Linked DNA regions of Kluyveromyces lactis. The protein of the gene in region 2 purifies or fractionates together with the protein of the main gene of each other region. This does not show direct contact. Links are inferred from orthologs where the notes say so. Each region holds a gene or a part of one and is shown on either strand. Other genes may lie near its edges.

Region 1 (3,824 bases), on a different chromosome or scaffold from region 2:
GTGACTCTGGAACCAGGGTGACAAAACTGTCTCTAGTATATCTATGATACTTTAATTCAGTAAATACAATTTATATATAGACTAGATGTAAGTCTAGTAAATAGAGATGAGATGATTATTGGGGTAAGTCGTCGTGAGATCAGTCATTAGAAAGGTGAGTAGATGATTCAATGATGGACAAGGTATTGTAACTTTTCATCTGTCTAATATGCGGCTTCGCATTTGACGACATTGTATCGTAGCAACCAAAAAGGGGAGAGACAATTTATGGTGAAGAACAATGTCAGATTAGTTTACAAAACCTAGTTCACAATAAATCATGTTTATAACAGGCGCAAGATCAACGTAAGAAAAGAAGATTGTAGCACGAATTATTGAGGTAGTTTTTGGGAGTAATGAGAAAATTCTGTATCGTTGTTTTGTTTGGGAAGAAATTAAAACGCAGGTAATCCGTAATGGCAGGCATCAGTAACCAGATAATGTTCTCGGCATTGAGAATAAGCATCAACGAAGTCTCATGGAGAGAGAGAGAATGAGAAGTCACAGATGAACATTCATGTTTTAAAACCGAAAAAAACAGTTATCTGAATAGAAACCATACCGTGAATGAAATGAATAAAAAACACTTGTATCTAAAAGGTGTTTTTTTATGATTTTGGTACTTTAATATTGATTGGTGGAAAATAGCAGATGCACTATACAAATAGTATCATCTTGTGAACCTTATAGCATAATATTGTGAAAGGGCAGTTTATAGGAATATAGTTGTCTTTCGAAAAGGGAAGAGTAGAGAGATGGGAATAAAAAAAAGGATAAACGCAAAGAAGTTAACTTTAACGTTCAATTACCTAATTCGTTCTTGCTCTAATCTCTGAAAGCAAAGCTCTTCTTAGCAAAATCCCAAGTATCTTCTTGCAATCTACCTCTTAGGGTTGGAGTTTCAGAACCTGGAACGTAGACATCCTCGAACAAGATGGACATCTTAGCTTCTGGAGCTGGGGCAGCATCAGCTAATTCGACTTGCTCATCGACGTACTTTCTAGCAGCCTTGTCGTAAGCCTTAATTTCATCTTCCGTGGCGATACCCAATTCCAATAAGTGCATCTTTAAACCTGCAATTGGATCGTTCTTAGATCTCATGTGTTGGATTTCATCTCTGGTTCTGTAAGTAGTACCTGGATCAGACATAGAGTGACCACCATATCTGTAAGTTTCGTATTCAAGAACGATTGGACCGTTACCGGAGACAGTCCAGTCCTTAGCGAACTTGGAAGCTTGGTAAACAGCCAAGATATCCATACCGTTAACCTTCAAACCAGGAATGTATTGACCACGCTTGAAGTATTCAGTCATGGCTGAAGATCTTGCGGCAGCGGTACCCATACCGTACTTGTTGTTTTCACAACAGAAGACGGCTGGTAAGTTCCATAACTTGGCCATGTTGAAGGATTCGAAAACTTGACCTTGGTTAGAGGCACCATCACCGTACAAGGCAAAAGAACAAGCATCTTCGTGTTTGTATTGATGAGCGAAGGCCAAACCAGCACCCAATGGGACTTGGGCACCAACGATACCATTACCACCGTAGAAACCAGGGGCGTACAAGTGCATGGAACCACCCTTACCGAAGGACACACCAGTTCTTCTACCCATCAATTCAGCCAACACAGCTTGAACAGCAGCACCTCTCATGTAGGTGAAACCATGACATCTGTAAGAGGTGATGACGGTATCACGCTTAGTGATAGCGTTTTCAATACCAACGGCAATGGCTTCTTGACCGACAGAGGAGTGACAGAAACCTCTAATTTTCTTAGCCTTGTACAAAGCGTCACAGGCCATTTCCATTCTTCTAACGATAATCATATCCTTGTACATTTGTAGCAAATTGGACTTGGTGGTTTGATAACTTAATTCAGGAACATCCAAAAGATAACCTTCAAAAGAGGTTTCTGGCAAATCAATTTGAACTAGGTCATCATCACCTGGCTTAGTTTCATCAGCAACCTGGGACAAAGCACGGACGTTTTTAGAAAAGTTTCTAACCAATCTCAAAGAGCTGGACTTCCCAACCACAGAGGATTGAGCTTTCAAAGATAGCATGGTTTGCCTAATTTATTGTTCTTTTCGGTATTAACTACTATAGCGACCAACAATTAGAACACACAAATACACACTCAGCAGTAGTGATGGCAAAATATGTTGTATAGAGAAGAAATAAAGAAGAAGAAGCTCTGAGTTCCTGATTCTATATTAAAACAAAAAAAAGCCAACTAATGAACGATTCCTTGTTCCAAAAAATTTGACAAAAATCAATCAATCAATCAATCAGTCAGTCAATTAATCAATTGCTTGGCTCAGTATCACTGAAAGACCAAAAAAAGGTTCTTAATCACGCAACAACTGTTTCTCATCATATTCACAATTAAATCCGCCTTTAAATACTTGTGAACTTGGGAAAAAAACTTCAAAAAATTTCGTAGCCAGCCAGTCGGTATAGATAAGGGACTTGAAATAACAAGAAGTGGGTATAAGCAAGGTCAATTTTGCTCTAATTGGGGTCAAACTTGAACCGTTGGGTAGCTGATGATGCGGAGAGTATTGATATTCTACTTATTATGGGATATCTGACAGTTTCGTCTGGTGTAGGTAGAGTTTATTGTGCTGATTCAATTAGACAGACGGGATTGTTGTTAGAAAGAGTGGGAAAAGTGACGTGCACAGCGCGGTGTTTGGGTGGAACATGGGCAGCAGATCTATTACCCGGATAATATGCGGGTCATGAGTTCTAATGATACACATTACCCGAATATTAATACTTTTGGCGCACGTGATCAGAAAGTGATTTCTTTTTCATTCTCTTCTGATCGAGGTCCGGGTAATATTTTGGAAAATTTTTTGAAATATCTTAGTGCTGTGTGGCAGGAAAGGTTGTATCCAGGAAAGAAATTTGGAAAAAAAAAGTATCAGTGAAAACTTTAAAGCGATGAGATGAGATGAGGTAAAGAGAAACGAGGTACATACTTACATCATTATCATAGTGTATCGTTCCCTCCTTTGTATCAGAAAACAGCTAATACTAATAATTTGTGGATAAAATTATCCGTACTATGGCGTTACAAATCTCAAAGGAAGACACTCAGGTGTTATTGAAAGATAAGAATGTATTGATCGAACCAACAATTGAGAAATATAGAACTGCAGGTCAAATTGCTCAGACTGCTTTAAACTTTTTGATCAGTTTGATCAATAAGATGTATCATGAGAAGTCTATGGAGCCGCTACCGATTCATCAACTTTGTTTATTGACTGATTCGTTCATAGCCGATTGTTTAAGTACTAAGTTCAACAATAAGGTTAACGAGAAGGGAATCTCAATGCCAACTTGTATTGATATCGATGAAATAAACGAGAACTGGTGTCCTGAAGTGGATGACATCGAAAACTTGTCCCGTTGGAACCAAAAATCTAGATCTACCAAATCGATCGAGCTATGTAACGGTGTTACTTCTAGTTTGTCTGGGTTTTTGAAAGTTGGTGATGTCGCTAAGATCACTTTGGGTTGTCACATCGATGGGTACACTTGTAACGTGTCCCACACCGTGGTCATTTACCCAACCGTTCAGGATGCCCAATCTGGAAAATTGCTACCTGAAGCTGCTTTGCTAGGTGGTAAAGCTGATGCTCTAGCTGCCACCCATATCGCTGTTGAGTCCGTCACTAACTTATTAGCTGCTGCAAACGATTTGACCAAACTTCCAGCTGATTTCAACGCTACGAAGGTCACTGGTTCCTTGATTAGGACCGTAGTTGACACCATTGCT
Region 2 (4,862 bases):
TCTCTGTTACCGTAACCGCCACGGCCACCGTAACCACCGCCACGACCACCAAAGTCACCGTAACCGCCTCTTGGACCACCGTAGCCACCACGGCCACCACGGAAACCGCCTCTTGGACCACCGAAGCCACCGCGACCGCCAAAGCCACCTCTTGGACCGCCAAAGCCACCGCGACCGCCGAAACCGCCACGGCCACCAAAGCCACCTCTTGGACCACCGAAGCCTCCACGGCCGCCGAAACCACCGCGACCGCCGAAACCACCACGGCCACCAAAGCCACCGCGACCGAAACCGCCACGGCCTCTAAAACCACCACGACCACGAGAGGATCTGATTGGTGGTGGGTTTTCATCTTTTTCAACAGCCAAAACTGAACCACGGAATTCGATGTTGTTCAACTTTTCAATGGCTTCCTGCAGGATCTCTTCGGTTGGGAATTCAAGAGCACCAGTACCGTCAAAGTCTCTGGTGTTGACACTGGAGAAAGTAGTTTCTAACTGGTTATCTCTGGCCAAATCCTTCAATTCTTGCCAAGCACAGCCTTCTGGCAAGTTTCTGATAATGACTCTGAATCTTGGCTTTAACTTCTTGGAAAATACAACTTCCAATGGGTAGTCGGCAAACATTTTACCGGCAACGTTTTGAATAGCTTGGGAAGCAGACTCAGCTTCTTCAAACTCAACAAAAGCGAACCCATTTAAAATCTTTATTTCCTTCAAAGCACCGAAAGGTTCGAAAATTTCCTTCATTTCAGCATCAGTGACATCTGGAGGGAAAGGCTTCACAAATAGTCTGGTATCAGAAAGCTCTTCATCGTCATCAACTCTATTATTGAAATTTTCATAACTTTGAGGTGGTGGAGCAGTTTCATATGGCTTTTCATATGGCTTTTCATATGGCTTTTCATAGGTTTCTTCTTCGACAGCTGGAGGAGGAGGAACGTCAGACATCTTGATATTTCGCGAGTAAGTGTTCTTGGTTGTACCTTGAGCAAAAGAAGTGAAACACTAATATCTTAGTCAAAAACAATACTGCAACGCCACTCAACGATGATGGAGTAGAATTTTTTTTCCAAAAACCAGGTTTTAAATATGTCTTTATATATAGGAGAAAGTGAAAATTTTAAATGAACATCGGGAAAAGAAAAGACAGAAGAGAATAGTGTCAAACAAGGTTTGGTAGGTAGGGTAAAACTCTGGAATCCTCGGTACAAGTCTTTTTAGAATGAGTGCTGATAAGTATCGCATGCACAGATATAAGCCCTCATACAAGTCATACTCCTACCAAATACGATCTGAGAGGCTATATTGATCAAATGCTCTCATTGCTACTTGTATTTACCATTGTTATACAGAAAGGTAAGAGTGACACATGTATCACGTGACTTGAACTTCAGTTTTTCATTTTTTTAACTCGTCAGAAGTGAGACCGTAGTTCATAGCTGTTTTTCTTCGATAGTATGGAATCCTGGAGGAAAGATACTAGAGCATGCCAAAGGTCTCTTAACATATTGATAAGTCAATTTAGCGAATTTATCTCAGAGGCAAGAAACGAAAAGCCAAGCGAACTAGCAGTTTAGAGGGGATATTTCCGATATTTTGACCGTTCGTTTTCTCTTTGCATTTCTTTTATCTATTTATTCGCAATAAATCGTTATAGAATCGTTGACGACAGTAATCATTGATTAATATACCAAGATCGAAAAAACTGGGTTTGAAATATAAGCGAAGGAATATTGAATCTAAATCCAGGTGGAGAATTCTTGCATTATAAAATACCATGTTTCAAATTCGTAACTATGCCACAAAATATGCACAGTCTCGGGCGCTGAGGAAGTACCCAGTAGGTGGCGTTTTTCACGGATATGAAGTGAAACGATTACTTCCTGTCCCTGAACTAAAGCTAACAGCCGTGGATTTATTGCATAACCAAACCGGTTCACAACATTTACATATTGATAGAGATGATAACAACAACGTGTTCAGTATCGGATTCAAAACCAATCCCCCGGATTCAACTGGTGTGCCACATATTTTGGAACACACAACTCTTTGCGGTTCTCATAAGTATCCTGTTCGCGATCCGTTCTTCAAGATGTTAAACAGATCGTTGGCAAACTTCATGAACGCTATGACTGGTCATGACTATACTTTTTACCCGTTTGCTACCACTAATGAGACGGATTTTGCTAATCTAAGAGACGTTTACCTTGATGCAACTCTAAATCCATTGTTGAATCAGCAAGATTTCCTACAAGAAGGTTGGAGGCTTGAACACACTAAGGTTGATGATCCAAACAGCGATATAGGTTTCAAAGGTGTTGTATACAATGAAATGAAGGGTCAAGTATCCAATGCTAACTATTATTTCTGGATTAAGTTTCAAGAAAGCTATTATCCATCCTTGAATAACTCTGGTGGTGACCCAACTAAAATGACTGATCTTCAATATGAAGATTTAATCAGTTTCCACAGAAATAATTACCATCCTTCTAATGCTAAGACGTTTACATACGGGAACTTCGATTTGAACAATACCTTACAGAGGTTGAATAAAGAATATCAAGGTTATGGTAGAAGGGGTTCTAAGAAGAGGGAACTATTACCAATCCAAATGAAAGAAGATGTTTCTGTAGAAACCGAAGGACAGGTTGATCCTATGTTACCACCGGATAAACAGATCAAGACCTCTGTGACTTGGATTTGTGGTAAACCTGAAGACACGTACCAAACATTTCTATTGAAGATCTTGGGTAATTTATTATTAGACGGACATTCCTCTCCTTTCTATCAAAAACTAATTGAAAGTGGGCTGGCGTACGACTTTTCAGTTAACACTGGTGTAGAGTCGCAGACTGCTGCAAACTTTATCACTATTGGTGTTCAAGGATGTGATGAAGTGGATTCGATATATGAAGTTATTAACAAAGTATGGGAAGAAGTATTACAGAATCCGTTTGAGGAGTCTAGGATCCAAGCAATCATTCAACAATTAGAGTTATCTAAGAAAGACCAAAGGGCAGATTTCGGTTTACAATTACTGTACTCGGTTTTACCAGGATGGGTTAACAAGACTGATCCATTTGATTCTTTATTGTTCGATGAGACACTAGAAAGATTCCAAGAAGATTGGGCCACTAAGGGTGATAATTTATTCAAAGACTTAATCAAAGAATTCGTGATTTCAAAACCTGTATTCAAATTCACCATGAAGGGCTCAGAAACGTTCTCTCAGAAACTTGATGCTGAGGAACAAGAACGTTTGGAGAGAAAGTTAAAGCTCCTTGACGAAGAAGACAAAAAGGTCATTTTCGAACGTGGTAAACAATTGCAAGAACTACAGGACCTCAAAGAGGATTTGAGTTGCCTTCCTTCATTGCAAATTAGTGCAATTCCAAGAGTTTCAAAGACATACCCATTGTTAGAGAAGGATAATGTTTTAAATCGTATTACCGATACCAATGGTATTACATACGTCAGAGGTAAGCGTTTACTAAACCACCATATTCCAAGAGAACTTTATCCTTTCCTACCATTATACGCAGACTCATTGACGAACCTTGGTACTTCAACTGAAGAGTTTTCCACCATTGAAGAACAAATCAAATTGCACACTGGCGGTGTCTCAACTCGCGTATCTGTAAATCCAGATGCACAGACTGGTAAGCCTATGCTGCTATTCCAAGTTGATGGATGGGCTTTGAACAGCAAAACCGATCACATCTTCAAGTTTTGGAAGAAACTTTTATGTGAAACTGATTTCCATAAGCACAAAGAAAAGCTAAAGGTCTTAATAAGATCATTAGCATCTTCAAACACAGCGTCTGTGGCTGAGACTGGTCATGCTTTTGCCCGGAACTTCGGTGCTGCTCATTTAAGTGTAACTAAAGCCATCAACGAAAGTTTAAACGGTATCGAACAGTTACAGTTAATCAATAAGTTATCTCAATGTTTGGATGATGAAGCACTATTTGAGAAAGAAGTGGTTTCAAAATTGGTTGAGCTTCAATCATATATAAATGGCAGTTCAGACATGAAATTCATGATCACCAGTGATTCTCAAGTTCAAATCGATGCAGTTCACCAACAAATCACGGGCTTTTTGAGCTCCTTACCCAAGGATTCAAAACCATGTGACTTCTACTCTGAGAATTACTCAATGTTGGAAAACCCAGGTAAACCAACCCTACTCCAGTTCCCATTTCAGGTTCATTACACCGCCAAGTGTTACCCAGGCGTTTCCTATACCCATCCTGATGGCGCTAAGCTACAAATCCTTTCTAACATGTTGACACACAAATATTTGCACCGTGAAATTCGTGAAAAAGGTGGCGCATATGGTGGTGGTGCTACTTACAGCGCTTTGGATGGTACTTTCAGTTTCTATTCTTACAGGGATCCTCACGCTTTAAATTCTTTGTCCACATTCGATAGCGTTCCAGAATTCATATTGAACAAGTCTTCGTGGGGTGAACCAGACTTGAATGAAGCGAAATTGAGTGTCTTCCAACAAGTAGACTCCCCAATGAGCGCCAAAAACGAAGGTACCATTTTATTCCATTACGACGTAACAGACGAAATGAAACAACGTCGTAGAGAGCAACTTTTAGACGTCAACTTGAATGATATACATCAAGTGGCAGAGGAATACCTCAAGCAAGATAAATCCATTGCCTCCATAGTTGGTCCGGAAATCCCAAATTTTGATGCCTTAGTTCAAACCGTGTAACGGGAAGCTCTTTCTTGTACATAATACAACCACATTATATATATATATATGTATTTATAACTCACAATACCCAATTACTAATTGTGCGTCGCAGTGCCTAGACGTACTTGCACACGGCAGAGTTATATCCCTTG
Region 3 (4,160 bases), on a different chromosome or scaffold from region 2:
TAGTATGTACGCAGATATTGCAATTTAGCCGGAGTAGATGCAACACATATACAATTTACTCAGTCGTAGGATGCCGAAGGTAGAACCAGCGTCTATATTTTTTCAAATGGTGACAATAATGTTCATTATATTTTATGGTAAAATATTATATGCTAAAATCCAAATACTGGAATAAACTTAATATAATGTAATATATTTACAAGATATACACATACATGGATCATAGATATACGTGTAAACAGGACATATTCTGTAGGAGCATGGAATCACTCAGCAGCTTTTTTAAACACTTGGCAAAGGAGATAATAGGTTCAATGGGTGTGGTCTGTTAGAAGTATGAGTCCAGCCCAAGTATAGAATAAATGGTAACCAGCCATAGTGCGCAACGGTTTGGGTTAGATTCAGAATTTTAGTAATACGTTCCTTGGATTCGTCGGATAGAATAAATGATGGTAAGAATGCCATGGTGGATCTGTTTTCGGTAATGTTTGTCTCTTAACGGTTAAAGTTCAACGAGGTCAAGGGAACTGAGCCTGCAATTAAGATACATTACCTGGTCAAAGTGTTAGCACAAACTTGTCTTCTTTTGTAAACATTTTTTTTCCAACTTTATTCCTGTATTTCGGGCAATGTAAAAACAGTCACGTGGTCTAAAATATTAAAAGAACCTTGGGGACTGCTATGAGAGAATAAGTTCAGTAGTATATACAGTAAATCGGAGAGAGTGCTGTTATGCAAAGCGATTGCGAGGAATGGTAAAAACATGAGATATTCAATTTCTTACATTATATCTATAGAAATGGTAATTTTTTACATAGTTGCAGTATGTTAAATCGAATTCTTTCCATGCAAGGTTGTGGGTCGAATAAGTCATAACTGACCTACAACGTTGTTAAAAGGAAAGCGTGGCTATTGGCATACGGTCGAAAAACTTCGACTAGGAGAATTCGTTTTGGAATGTTGGTGGGTAGGCTTTTTTCTTCTTTACTTTGAAATTCTTAACTTTATTATTTTTGATCATTAGATTTGTTAGGTTCTGAATCTGTTCATAACAATAGTTCCAATGGGTTTTCAATAACCTTCTTCAATTCCTTCATGAATTCACCACCCTTAGCACCATCGATAGTTCTGTGATCGAAAGTACCAGTGATATTCATCTTTTGGTCAAAGGTGAAGCCGAATTCGGAACCAGCATCTTCGACTGGGACCTTGTTAACGGTACCGATAGCCAAGATGGTAGATTGTGGTGGGTTGATGATAGAGGTGAACATGGAAACGGCAGGGTTCATACCCAAGTTAGAGATACAGATAGTACCACCTTGGAATTCTTCTGGCTTCAACTTATTATCCTTAGCACGCTTACCTAAGTCCTTGATTTCCTTAGAAATGGAAACAAGGCCCTTGGATTCGGCGTTCTTGACGATCGGAGTCAACAAACCGGTTGGGGTAGCAACAGCGACAGAGACGTCAACGTTCTTGAACTTTCTGATGACACCTTGTTCTGGCATCCAGTAAGCATTAGCATCTGGACATCTCTGAGCAGCAACAGCAATGGCCTTGATCAAGATGTCATTGATGGACAACTTGTATTGGTCTTTAGCAGTAGCGTTCAAGGATTGTCTCAACTTCAAAAGCTTAGAAACACTAATTTGAGAGGAAACAATGTATGATGGAATATTTTGAGTGGATTGCAACAAACGGTCACCGATGATTTGTCTCATGTTACTGATTGGAACATCTTCATAAGTGGCGGATGCTGGAGTTGGGGCAGCTAGGGCTGGAGCGGCCTTAGCAGCGGAGGATTCACGAGATGGAGCCGAGGCCAAGAAGGCTTCAACATCATCCTTAGTGATTCTGCCTCTTGGACCAGTACCTTCAACTTCCTTCAAGGAAACACCATGTTCCAAAGCGATGCTCTTGGCCAATGGAGAAGCAAAGATTCTAGTACCTGAAGAAGCAGAAGATCCAGAGGATTTCTTGGCAGCTGGTTTAGAAGCTGGTTTAGCACCTTCCTTGGATTCTTCCTTGGATTCTTCCTTTGCAGGTTGCTTAGCACCATTCTTGGCAGCTTCCTTAGCAGCGGTAGCAGATTCGGCGTCTGCAGCAGTGAAATTAGCGAAAGCTGGAACGTCAGATTCTTCCTCAACGTAAACAGCAAGTGGCTTGTTCACTGGGATATCCTTGGTACCAGCTGGAACCAAGATCTTAGCCAAATAACCTTCTTCTTGGAATTCGAAATCCATTTGAGCCTTATCAGTTTCAACTTCAGCAAGGACATCACCAGGCTCCAACCTGTCACCAACGTTCTTACTCCATTCCGTCAAACCACCTTGAACCATGGTAGGAGACAAAGCTGGCATACCAATGATGGTGTATGGTGGGTAAGAAGCATACGTTCTCAATTGAAGTCTGGCAGCACAAGCCAAGACGCTCATTCTTGGAGCAACTCTAGAAAGTAATGCAGACATTTTTCCTAGTTCTTTTCTTAATATATGTACACAAACAATTGATTCGTTCCCGTAACTTGGTTAATACAATTGAATATCAAATGTAAGCCGATTTTATCTTCTGGTACAGTCAATTCCTGTGTCCAATTCGTAGTGAAATGTAACCTTAATAAATATTGATATCTCAGTTCTAAATGAAGGAGGAAAAGGCTTGATGTATTATTTCAATCTTCTTCTTTCAAGCGAGATCAATTACCAACAGGTGTAATCAGTGTTCCAATAGTATCGTCAAATGCACTAGCGAATCACAATCATTTTTTTTTCTCTTGTGCAATCTAATCGATGTTATTTACAGATAAATGTTCTCCCATCTAACCTTTTTCCTTTTATTTCTTGAGAATTTCAGTTTTCAGAATTTTCGAAATCCAAAATATCCACACTATAATGGTGCGACGGGATAGAAGGTGGGATGAACAGAAACATGCCCGTGATCCGCTGCAAACTGATAGCTGCTAGAAGGGTTTCCGTCGTGATAGTTATAAAGCTTTATATAATGGTATTTCTCGAGATGATATTTATCTCAATCCCAAACCTGCTCTTGAGCTGTATAAATGCTTTCACAATTGATGGAGTAGAGTAACTTACCGATTAATATGTGGTGTAGGGAGTTTACTAGTGTCAATTTTTGGCTAGTGCCAGCGGCCTAAACGGTGGCCACAATTGTGCCAGGCAATGCAAATCTCGAATGCGGGTAGCTTATTTCGTAATCTGATGACAGCGTCGCGACTGTCAATAGATAAATTCATAATACGTTGTATATATAGATAGTAGGATAAATGGAAATGAGTCAGGGTTTACTGGTACCAGGAATCAAGTGTAATAGGTCTGTTTTTCTGTTCGGGTGCCCACTGCATTTTTTTCTTGGTCATTGCGTCTTCTTCCCATTCTATTTCGATGGTAGATTTACTATTTGCGAGCATCGTGGCACATGTTTGCCAAGAGAACCGTACCATGTAGGGAGACCATCCCATCAATGGTTTCATCTCGTTTCGTAGCCATTGAACGGTTTTTGAGTCACCAGGATACCCTGACCCAAGGATTTCATCTTCGGTTTTCTTGCATTGTGAAAGGATGATATCTCTGGTCACTTTTGCTACCACACTCGCAACACTTACAATGGGGTAAATAGAATCAGCCTTTTTCGCAACGGTGAATTTGCACTGTGGGAAGATACTTTCCAATTTCTTTTGATACGAGATAGGCGGACCCACGGTATCGACGTACACGTGACCTACTTTAACACCAGATTTCAATACATCGTCTATCAATGCGATTGTCACATCGTGCGCCTGTTCATTCAAATTGTAATTCTTTTCTGGTGGGAACCTGAACATCCCGCTGCTGATATCACATGCAGTTATAGATGTTGTAGCGTATCCAACTCCGTCTATTTCTCCTCCGTAGATCATGGCAAACAGTTTCTGTCTCACTGGATCGGTTAGTTTCTTAGAGTCGTCGAATCCATATTTGCATATTACGTCCTTTTCATATTGACGCGTGCAATAGCTGATACCATAAACCATGGGGCCCATTACAGGTCCTCTTCCTGCTTCATCTACTCCCAGGATGATCTCATCCGTACTTTCCAATATCGATTTGGGTACTTCTGAATGGTAGGTTTTCGAGTGTAACGAATTTAAAGATCCAGCAACT
Region 4 (3,918 bases), on a different chromosome or scaffold from region 2:
TTTCATTATCGGTATCTCTTTGCCCTTTTTGATCAATGGTTCCATTATCGGTATCATCTCGCTAGGCGTAGGTGATTCATTGGCTTCCATTATTGGTAAAAAATTTGGAAGAAACAGATGGCCAAATACTTGTAAAACTTTCGAGGGCACTTTTGCATTCATTGCAGCTACTGGCATAACTACAGTGATTATGAAAGTTTACTTTAACTTTTTCACCGAGGTGTCGTTCATGAATTTGGTTCTTGTATGTTTCCTAGCTGGCATCTTGGAAGGTAATAGTACTTTGAATGATAACTTACTAATTCCAACTTTCATGTTGATATTGTTGGAATCTATGAAGGAATAGTATTGATAGATAGTCAAACCTGTTATGCAAAACCTATATATTCAAAATTTGAGTATGTAGTAAATTTATAGATTAGGGCCTATTTTTGTTCCAAGGGTACTTCACTGACCATGTTTCCATCTTTCTTGCTTCTGAATAAGATTTGAATGGTCAAAATGCGTTATAAGTTAGTATTGTGAAACGTAATGATATAAATAGAAAATCATGTTTACACGGAGTGGTGATGGTTCACTCAAAACTCTTGTTAATAAGAAATTAGGGCGTGTGGCGTAGTTGGTAGCGCGCTCCCTTAGCATGGGAGAGGTCTTCGGTTCGACTCCGGACTCGTCCAATCTTTTTATTTCCCCTGTTCATTCTGGACCAATGATCTCTTTTTTTGATATAACGATGTGGTGCCTATTACACACAAGCTGAGAATGTTCTGAGAATTCGTTTACAAACATTTCATATCATTTACGTTAAATATATTATACGTGTTTACTATTTATTTTTGATAATCTTTACTTTTCAATGTATAGTTTGAAATCAAAGAATGATTCGAGGAATATATAAGAAGAAAGATGCTTCAGATGGCGAGATAAATAAAAAAAAAAATAGACGACAACTGGATACGACGTACCATTGTTAAGTAGCTTATTATAGTTATTGATATCAAGCAGCTTCAATTATCCGCAATTTTTTTTTTCCACTTCGCTTTATCAAGAAAAATTAGAAGTTGATTGGCTTGGCGTAAGCAGCTAAGTTAGCTTCCTTGAAAGCTTCGGATAGAGTTGGATGAGCGTGACAAACTCTAGCGATGTCTTCAGCAGAAGCACCGTATTCCAATGCTAAACCGGCTTCAGCGATCATTTCACCAGCGTTAGGACCAATGATGTGAGCACCTAGTAAACGTTCAGATTCTGCGTCGATCAAAATCTTAACGAAACCTTCGGTGTCCATGTTGGTTTTAGCTCTAGAGTTAGCGATGAATGGGAACTTTCCAATCTTGTATTGAATACCAGCTTCCTTTAATTGTTCTTCGGTCTTACCGACCCAAGCGACTTCTGGGTGGGAGTACATGACAGCCGGGATGTTACCGTAGTTGACATGACCGTGGCCGACCTTGAAGTATTCGGCAGCAGCGATACCTTCTTCTTCAGCCTTGTGAGCCAACATTGGACCGAAGGTAACATCACCGATAACCTTGACGTGTGGGAATTTGGTGGATAATTGTTCATCAATGACCAATCTACCACGCTTGTCGACTTCCAAACCGATCTTTTCAGCGTTCAAACCAGCGACGTATGGTCTTCTGCCGACAGCGACCAACAAGACATCAGCTTGGAGAGATTCCTTCTTACCATTCTTGGCACCTTCGACTTCGATGTCAACGACGTCACCGTTTCTGGAGGCAGACAAGACCTTGGTGCTCAACTTAAAGTCGAGACCTTGTTTCTTCAAAATCTTTTGAGTAGTTTGAGCGACTTCACCATCCATGGTAGCACCAATTTGAGGTTGGAATTCGATCACAGTGACCTTAGAACCCAATCTGGAGTAAACTGAACCCATTTCTAAACCGATGATACCACCACCGATGATAGCCAATTTCTTTGGGATTTCTTTCAAGGAAAGAGCACCAGTAGAAGAAACGATTCTTTCCTCATCAATGGTGATACCTGGGAATGGAGTCACTTCAGAACCAGTGGCAACAATAATCCTGTCACTTTCCAAGAGGTGATCTTCAGTAACGGAACCTTCCAGACCTTCCACAGGAAGAACCTTAACGGATTTGTCAGTTTCAAAGGCACCTAAACCTTTGTAGTAAGTGACACCATTCTTCTTGAACAACATTTCAATACCACCAGTCAATTGCTTGACGACAGTGTCCTTAGCCTTTTGAAATTGAGCAACGTTAATGTTGATTTCACCGTTGATATCAATACCTCTTTGCTTAGCATCCGTCTTCATTTGATGGTATAGGTGAGAATTGTTCAACAAAGCCTTGGATGGGATACAACCAACGTTTAAACAAGTACCACCTAGTCTACCTCTTTTCTCAACACAAGCAACATCGTAACCGAGTTGAGCAGCCTTGATAGCAGCAACGTAACCACCTGGACCACCACCAATAACGACCAAGTCGTGCTTCTTAGTAACGGTTTTCAAAAGAGCAGAAGAGCTAAAGGAACGGGTAGAATTGAATCTCAACATCTTTGATTAGGGCGGATATAAATAAACAAGATAAATAAGATAATCCTCTAACCTCTTACTTATACGTTATCTGAACCCTTTCTCTGTGGTTTCACTTGATATATTTCTTGAAATATAAAATATCCTAGTGAATTCCTTTTATATTAATGTCAATTGGAATGGAAAAAAAAGATTACGATCCCAAATAAATACAACTATTAGACGGTTTGATCAATTAAATAGCAAGAAAATTGATCTACAGGACTCAAATACCAGCATGATGCGGTAGGGTTTGGTGATTCACTACGGTACGGACCATATATAAACTACAATTATATAATTGAACGGATTGTAATTCGAAAAAATACTGTAGTATTCCAGAGAAGACCACTTATTTAACTGATCTATATTTCATCGTTCCTTTGCGCAACTTTTAAGTTGAAGAACCAGTTTTTTTTTTATCAATCTATTGAGCTTTCCAAACTGCCAGAGTCATTACTATTAATTATCGAAATGGGATAACACAGTGAACAGAAGTATCTTTGTGAAAAGCTGTTTCGCTGGTGTGATCTATAAAGGCGACGGCTCATCACAAAAAAGTTGCAACTGTCTTGACGTGGGGAACAGGGAAACCTTCGGAATCGACAAAAATTGAAACTATTGAATGAAATCAGTTGAAAAATAACGAAACGAACCTAAAAAAACGGAAGCCGTACGGGGGCCGACACGAAAGGCGCAGGGCGGGCTATCAAGAACGTGATTAACACGTGATTCAAACCGGGTAACGTTTATTAATTTATGATCACGTTGTTTTTTTTTGATTACCAGTTTTTCCTTCTGCCAAATACTCACTATGAGATATGATATCCATATAAAAGAATAATGAATCATGATATATGAAGGATAAGGGAGATTGTTAGCAAGAACAAAGAATAGAGTAGCAACAGTAATAACAAAGCATTAGCCGCAGATATGAGATTTGCACCTATTTTTATTGGAACGGCGTTGGCCAGTTCGTGTATGTTTAAGGACGGATTTTCTTAACCCTTTTTTTTCCCTTTAATTCTCAACTTTACTAACATCATCATCGTCATCGTCAAATACAGTATCTTCACTTATGGTTATATATCCTGACAGCTTCCAATACTACAATGATTTAGTGAATGTGGCACATGAACTTGATGGGACTATAACGCATGAATATACATTATTCAATGGGTTTAGTTTGGATTTGCCAGAAGAGTTTGTCGCTAAATTCAAGGAAATGAACCAACATTTTAATTGGGGGCTTGAAATAGAAGAAGACCAGGAGGTTCATGCGTTAGGTGGGCTGAAAGAACATGCTGTTTGATTGCATTATGGACTGAATCAACGTTGTGTCGGTCTTTACTATTATTTTCTAT
Region 5 (3,575 bases), on a different chromosome or scaffold from region 2:
AATTCGATCTCCTACAGGACGTTATGATACCGTACTTATACACCGATTGGTTCGAAAAGGATGGGTACGATAAAAAATTGAAATCCAAGGAATATACGACACCGTTCCTAGCGCACTCGACATTGGTATGGCCTACTAAAACCGAGATCAAAGAGTGTATGACACAGGGGCTAAGTGCAAATTGGTTTTTTTACAAAAGATCAGAACAAACTGAGAGGAAAGTAGTGCCTTGTTTAAGAAAACATGTCCCTCTGCCAACAAACGCGACACAGTCCGATAAGAATAGGCATATGGTTCCAAGCCATACCAAATATTATATACAATTCACAGATGAAAATACACTCAAGCGACCAGATTGGATACTACTCACCAGTCATAACCTTTCCCAAGCTGCATGGGGTCCCAGCCCACTAAAAAAACCTACCAATTACGAATGCGGTATTCTATACACGACAACCATGGGGAGAAACAAAGTACGGTTAACACTAGCAAGTGCCCAACAACCGCCAGGAAGAACAATTGGGTCAAGGGTACCCGAAGACATAACTGTTCTGCCCACAGTAAAAGTGGTGACGCCGTATCCATTGAAATTTCAGCGTTACTCAGCAACTGACGAACCTTATACCTCTGTCGTTCAATGATGATATACACAATAATACCATCTAACAACATTCTAAGGCGCTGACATCTGTCAGCGCTTTACGTTACCCGGATTATTTAGGTATCACACCGGAATAACAGAAAAATTGACAATGTCCGCATCATTCCCACGCATCACGTGCCCCCACCCTTTTCCGTCGTTTGAACACCTATACACCTCATCGCCTCCATCAATCTCATCTGCTATGTCGTATTCTCCCGTCGCCAAAACAGGTTTTTTCAGCAGATTTGTGATGGCGCACTTACTATGCGCTAGCATATCTATGAGATAAATACAACGGTATAGCAACCCGCGAATCGCTCGACCCGTACAGTCGAAACGAATAAAAAAAAGCTTATGCAGCGCATATATATTCCTTTAAAGGATTTTGATTTCACCAATATATAAAGAAATATAAGAGGGTCATTTCAGCACCAGGGAAGTTGTTAGTTCTTTAGAGTCGTTATTCCTTTATTCATTGTATTATCTTCTGTTTTGTGTTTCATTTTTTATACTTTATGGATCTGTAATTCAATACTTGTTTAATCTTACTTTATAATTTCTTAAAGGTTTTATAAATCTTACTACAGATTCTCATCCAATCCCACTCAATTAGCGGTTCCCTGAGGCTAACGTCTATTTGTTGAATAGGTCAAAGAACGAGTTTTTATTTTTTTTCAGTGAAAAAATAATATCAAATTCAAGAAATTATAAAAAAGAATTCAGTTGAAAAGGATCCTTTTTAGTTATAGAATTGACAATTGACTATCTAATTTGTCTGTCTTATAACAAACGCATCTCAACAACTTCTGTCTGTTTGTTTATTGCTTCGTTTTTGTTTTCGAATTATCAAAACATTATTTCTTCTACCTTTAAAAGAAAAAGAAAAACGAAAAGATATCAAACTCTAGTATAATATTCATTCTCCTTTGGTTCAGTAAACGTTTTACAAGCGAAGACAATTTTAAAGGTTAAGAAGAATTACACGTAGTGAAACGAAACGTTAGTACCCGATTGATAAAAACTTTCAACTGGCAAAATTATTAAATACTAATACAACATGATGATGCTTTCTAACACTTTTAAGAGGGCTGTTCCTTCTGTGGTTCAATCCATGAGATTTGCTTCTACCAAGACCATGACCGTCAGAGAAGCTTTGAATTCTGCCATGGCCGAAGAAATGGACCGTGATGATGATGTTTTCATCATTGGTGAAGAAGTTGCTCAATATAATGGTGCTTACAAGGTTACCAAGGGTTTATTGGACCGTTTCGGTGAAAGAAGAGTTGTTGACACTCCAATTACCGAAATGGGTTTCACTGGTTTGGCTGTTGGTGCCGCTTTGAAGGGTTTAAAGCCAATTGTTGAATTCATGTCTTTCAACTTCTCCATGCAAGCTATGGATCAAGTCATTAACTCCGCTGCTAAGACTTACTATATGTCCGGTGGTACTCAGAAATGTCAAATCGTTTTCAGAGGTCCAAACGGTTCTGCTGTCGGTGTTGCTGCTCAACATTCCCAAGATTATTCTGCTTGGTACGGTTCTGTTCCAGGTATGAAGGTTTTGGTTCCATACTCTGCTGAAGATGCTAGAGGTTTGTTGAAGGCTGCCATTCGTGATCCAAACCCAGTTGTTTTCTTGGAAAACGAATTGTTATACGGTCAATCTTTCGAAGTCTCTGAAGAATCTCTGTCTACTGATTTCACTTTGCCATACAAAGCAAAGGTTGAAAGAGAAGGTTCTGATATCTCTATCATCAGTTACACCAGAAATGTTCAATTCTCTTTGGAAGCTGCTGAAATTTTGTCTAAGCAATACGGTGTTTCTGCTGAAGTTATCAATTTGAGAGCCATTAGACCTTTGGATGTTGAAGCTATCATCAACACTGTCAAGAAGACCAACCACTTGATTACTGTTGAATCTACTTTCCCAGCTTTCGGTGTTGGTGCTGAAATTATCGCTCAAATTATGGAATCTGAAGCCTTCGATTATTTGGATGCTCCAATTCAAAGAGTTACTGGTGCTGAAGTCCCAACTCCTTATGCTAAGGAATTAGAAGATTTTGCTTTCCCAGACCCTGACACCATTGTCAGAGCTGCTAAAAGTGTTTTGTCTATTGAATGATTGCACCGTGCACTCTTTCTTTACTGACAGTTATGCACCTCTGTTGGCCTCCGTTTTTTATCAAAACAAAAGAGAATATTCATTGGATAAGGAATAGTGCATGATGGTTCATTCGCATTCGGTTTTTCTTATGATTGTACTCCTTTGTTGCAATAAACTAAGTTATGAATTGATTTACAAACTTCAAAGAAAAATAGAAAAATTAAAACATATTATATTATTAAGATATGAATACCAAGTTCAGTTAATACACGATTTTGGATTAGGAAATAGAATGAGATAGAGTTGCCTGTCGTTGAATTATTCGCTGGTAAAGGTAAGTTGATGAATTAGAGATTTTACAATTTTTTTTCATGTATGTTGCCCATCAGTAATGATGAAGAAAAGTTTTCATCACTAGAGATGGGAACAATAAGGTATTTGGGGACAACTGCGGTTGTTATGAGATTAAACTGTATATATATATTCTGCCGTTAAAACAAGACGCTGTGCGCTACTTTCTGTACAACTTGTCGTTATTTCCATCAAGGTATTGTCTTTTACACTTTCTAAGCTGAAATGGCTTTAGCGATGTAGGATACATTAGAGGGTTTAAGACTGGACCAGGAGAGAGGTTCATAACACTTAAATTGGAAATTAAGCTTACCAAGTTGTTAACAAATATAAGGGCAGCTATTTGCCTGAAATGGCAGAATATTCGTCGTTTATGGGGAAGTATTTTTTTTCGCTAAGAACTATTAGCCAAACACTTACGCATGTACACACAATCAGGCACTTTTAGGCCATCCAATGCGTACTTGACGTACTACT

The links.
Region 1: the proteins of CYM1 (region 2) and PDA1 purify together in Saccharomyces cerevisiae (affinity purification with mass spectrometry; 3 studies listed by BioGRID). This does not show direct contact. The link is inferred for Kluyveromyces lactis from reciprocal best matches to the Saccharomyces cerevisiae genes CYM1 and PDA1.
Region 3: the proteins of CYM1 (region 2) and LAT1 purify together in Saccharomyces cerevisiae (affinity purification with mass spectrometry, with the first as the bait; 3 studies listed by BioGRID). This does not show direct contact. The link is inferred for Kluyveromyces lactis from reciprocal best matches to the Saccharomyces cerevisiae genes CYM1 and LAT1.
Region 4: the proteins of CYM1 (region 2) and LPD1 purify together in Saccharomyces cerevisiae (affinity purification with mass spectrometry, with the first as the bait; 3 studies listed by BioGRID). This does not show direct contact. The link is inferred for Kluyveromyces lactis from reciprocal best matches to the Saccharomyces cerevisiae genes CYM1 and LPD1.
Region 5: the proteins of CYM1 (region 2) and PDB1 purify together in Saccharomyces cerevisiae (affinity purification with mass spectrometry; 3 studies listed by BioGRID). This does not show direct contact. The link is inferred for Kluyveromyces lactis from reciprocal best matches to the Saccharomyces cerevisiae genes CYM1 and PDB1.

Annotation. Positions count from the first base shown.
Region 1 is NC_006042.1:1,099,708-1,103,531, reverse strand, and holds PDA1 (pyruvate dehydrogenase (acetyl-transferring) subunit E1 alpha), read right to left. Parts: upstream 2,104-3,824; coding exon 865-2,103; downstream 1-864. Other genes in the region: ARX1 (putative hydrolase), read left to right, coding at 3,111-3,824. UniProt on the Saccharomyces cerevisiae protein: The pyruvate dehydrogenase complex catalyzes the overall conversion of pyruvate to acetyl-CoA and CO(2).
Region 2 is NC_006038.1:73,527-78,388, reverse strand, and holds CYM1 (pitrilysin family metalloprotease), read left to right. Parts: upstream 1-1,779; coding exon 1,780-4,728; downstream 4,729-4,862. Other genes in the region: mRNA-binding protein NPL3, read right to left, coding at 1-950. UniProt on the Saccharomyces cerevisiae protein: Degrades mitochondrial transit peptides after their cleavage in the intermembrane space or in the matrix, and presequence peptides; clearance of these peptides is required to keep the presequence processing machinery running.
Region 3 is NC_006042.1:462,061-466,220, forward strand, and holds LAT1 (dihydrolipoyllysine-residue acetyltransferase), read right to left. Parts: upstream 2,469-4,160; coding exon 1,047-2,468; downstream 1-1,046. Other genes in the region: ribonuclease H2 catalytic subunit RNH201, read right to left, coding at 3,302-4,160. UniProt on the Saccharomyces cerevisiae protein: The pyruvate dehydrogenase complex catalyzes the overall conversion of pyruvate to acetyl-CoA and CO(2).
Region 4 is NC_006040.1:950,667-954,584, reverse strand, and holds LPD1 (dihydrolipoyl dehydrogenase), read right to left. Parts: upstream 2,537-3,918; coding exon 1,055-2,536; downstream 1-1,054. Other genes in the region: SEC59 (dolichol kinase), read left to right, coding at 1-346; KLLA0_D11143g (uncharacterized protein), read left to right, coding at 3,488-3,533, 3,622-3,866.
Region 5 is NC_006042.1:881,968-885,542, reverse strand, and holds PDB1 (pyruvate dehydrogenase (acetyl-transferring) subunit E1 beta), read left to right. Parts: upstream 1-1,700; coding exon 1,701-2,765; downstream 2,766-3,575. Other genes in the region: TDP1 (tyrosyl-DNA phosphodiesterase 1), read left to right, coding at 1-641. UniProt on the Saccharomyces cerevisiae protein: The pyruvate dehydrogenase complex catalyzes the overall conversion of pyruvate to acetyl-CoA and CO(2).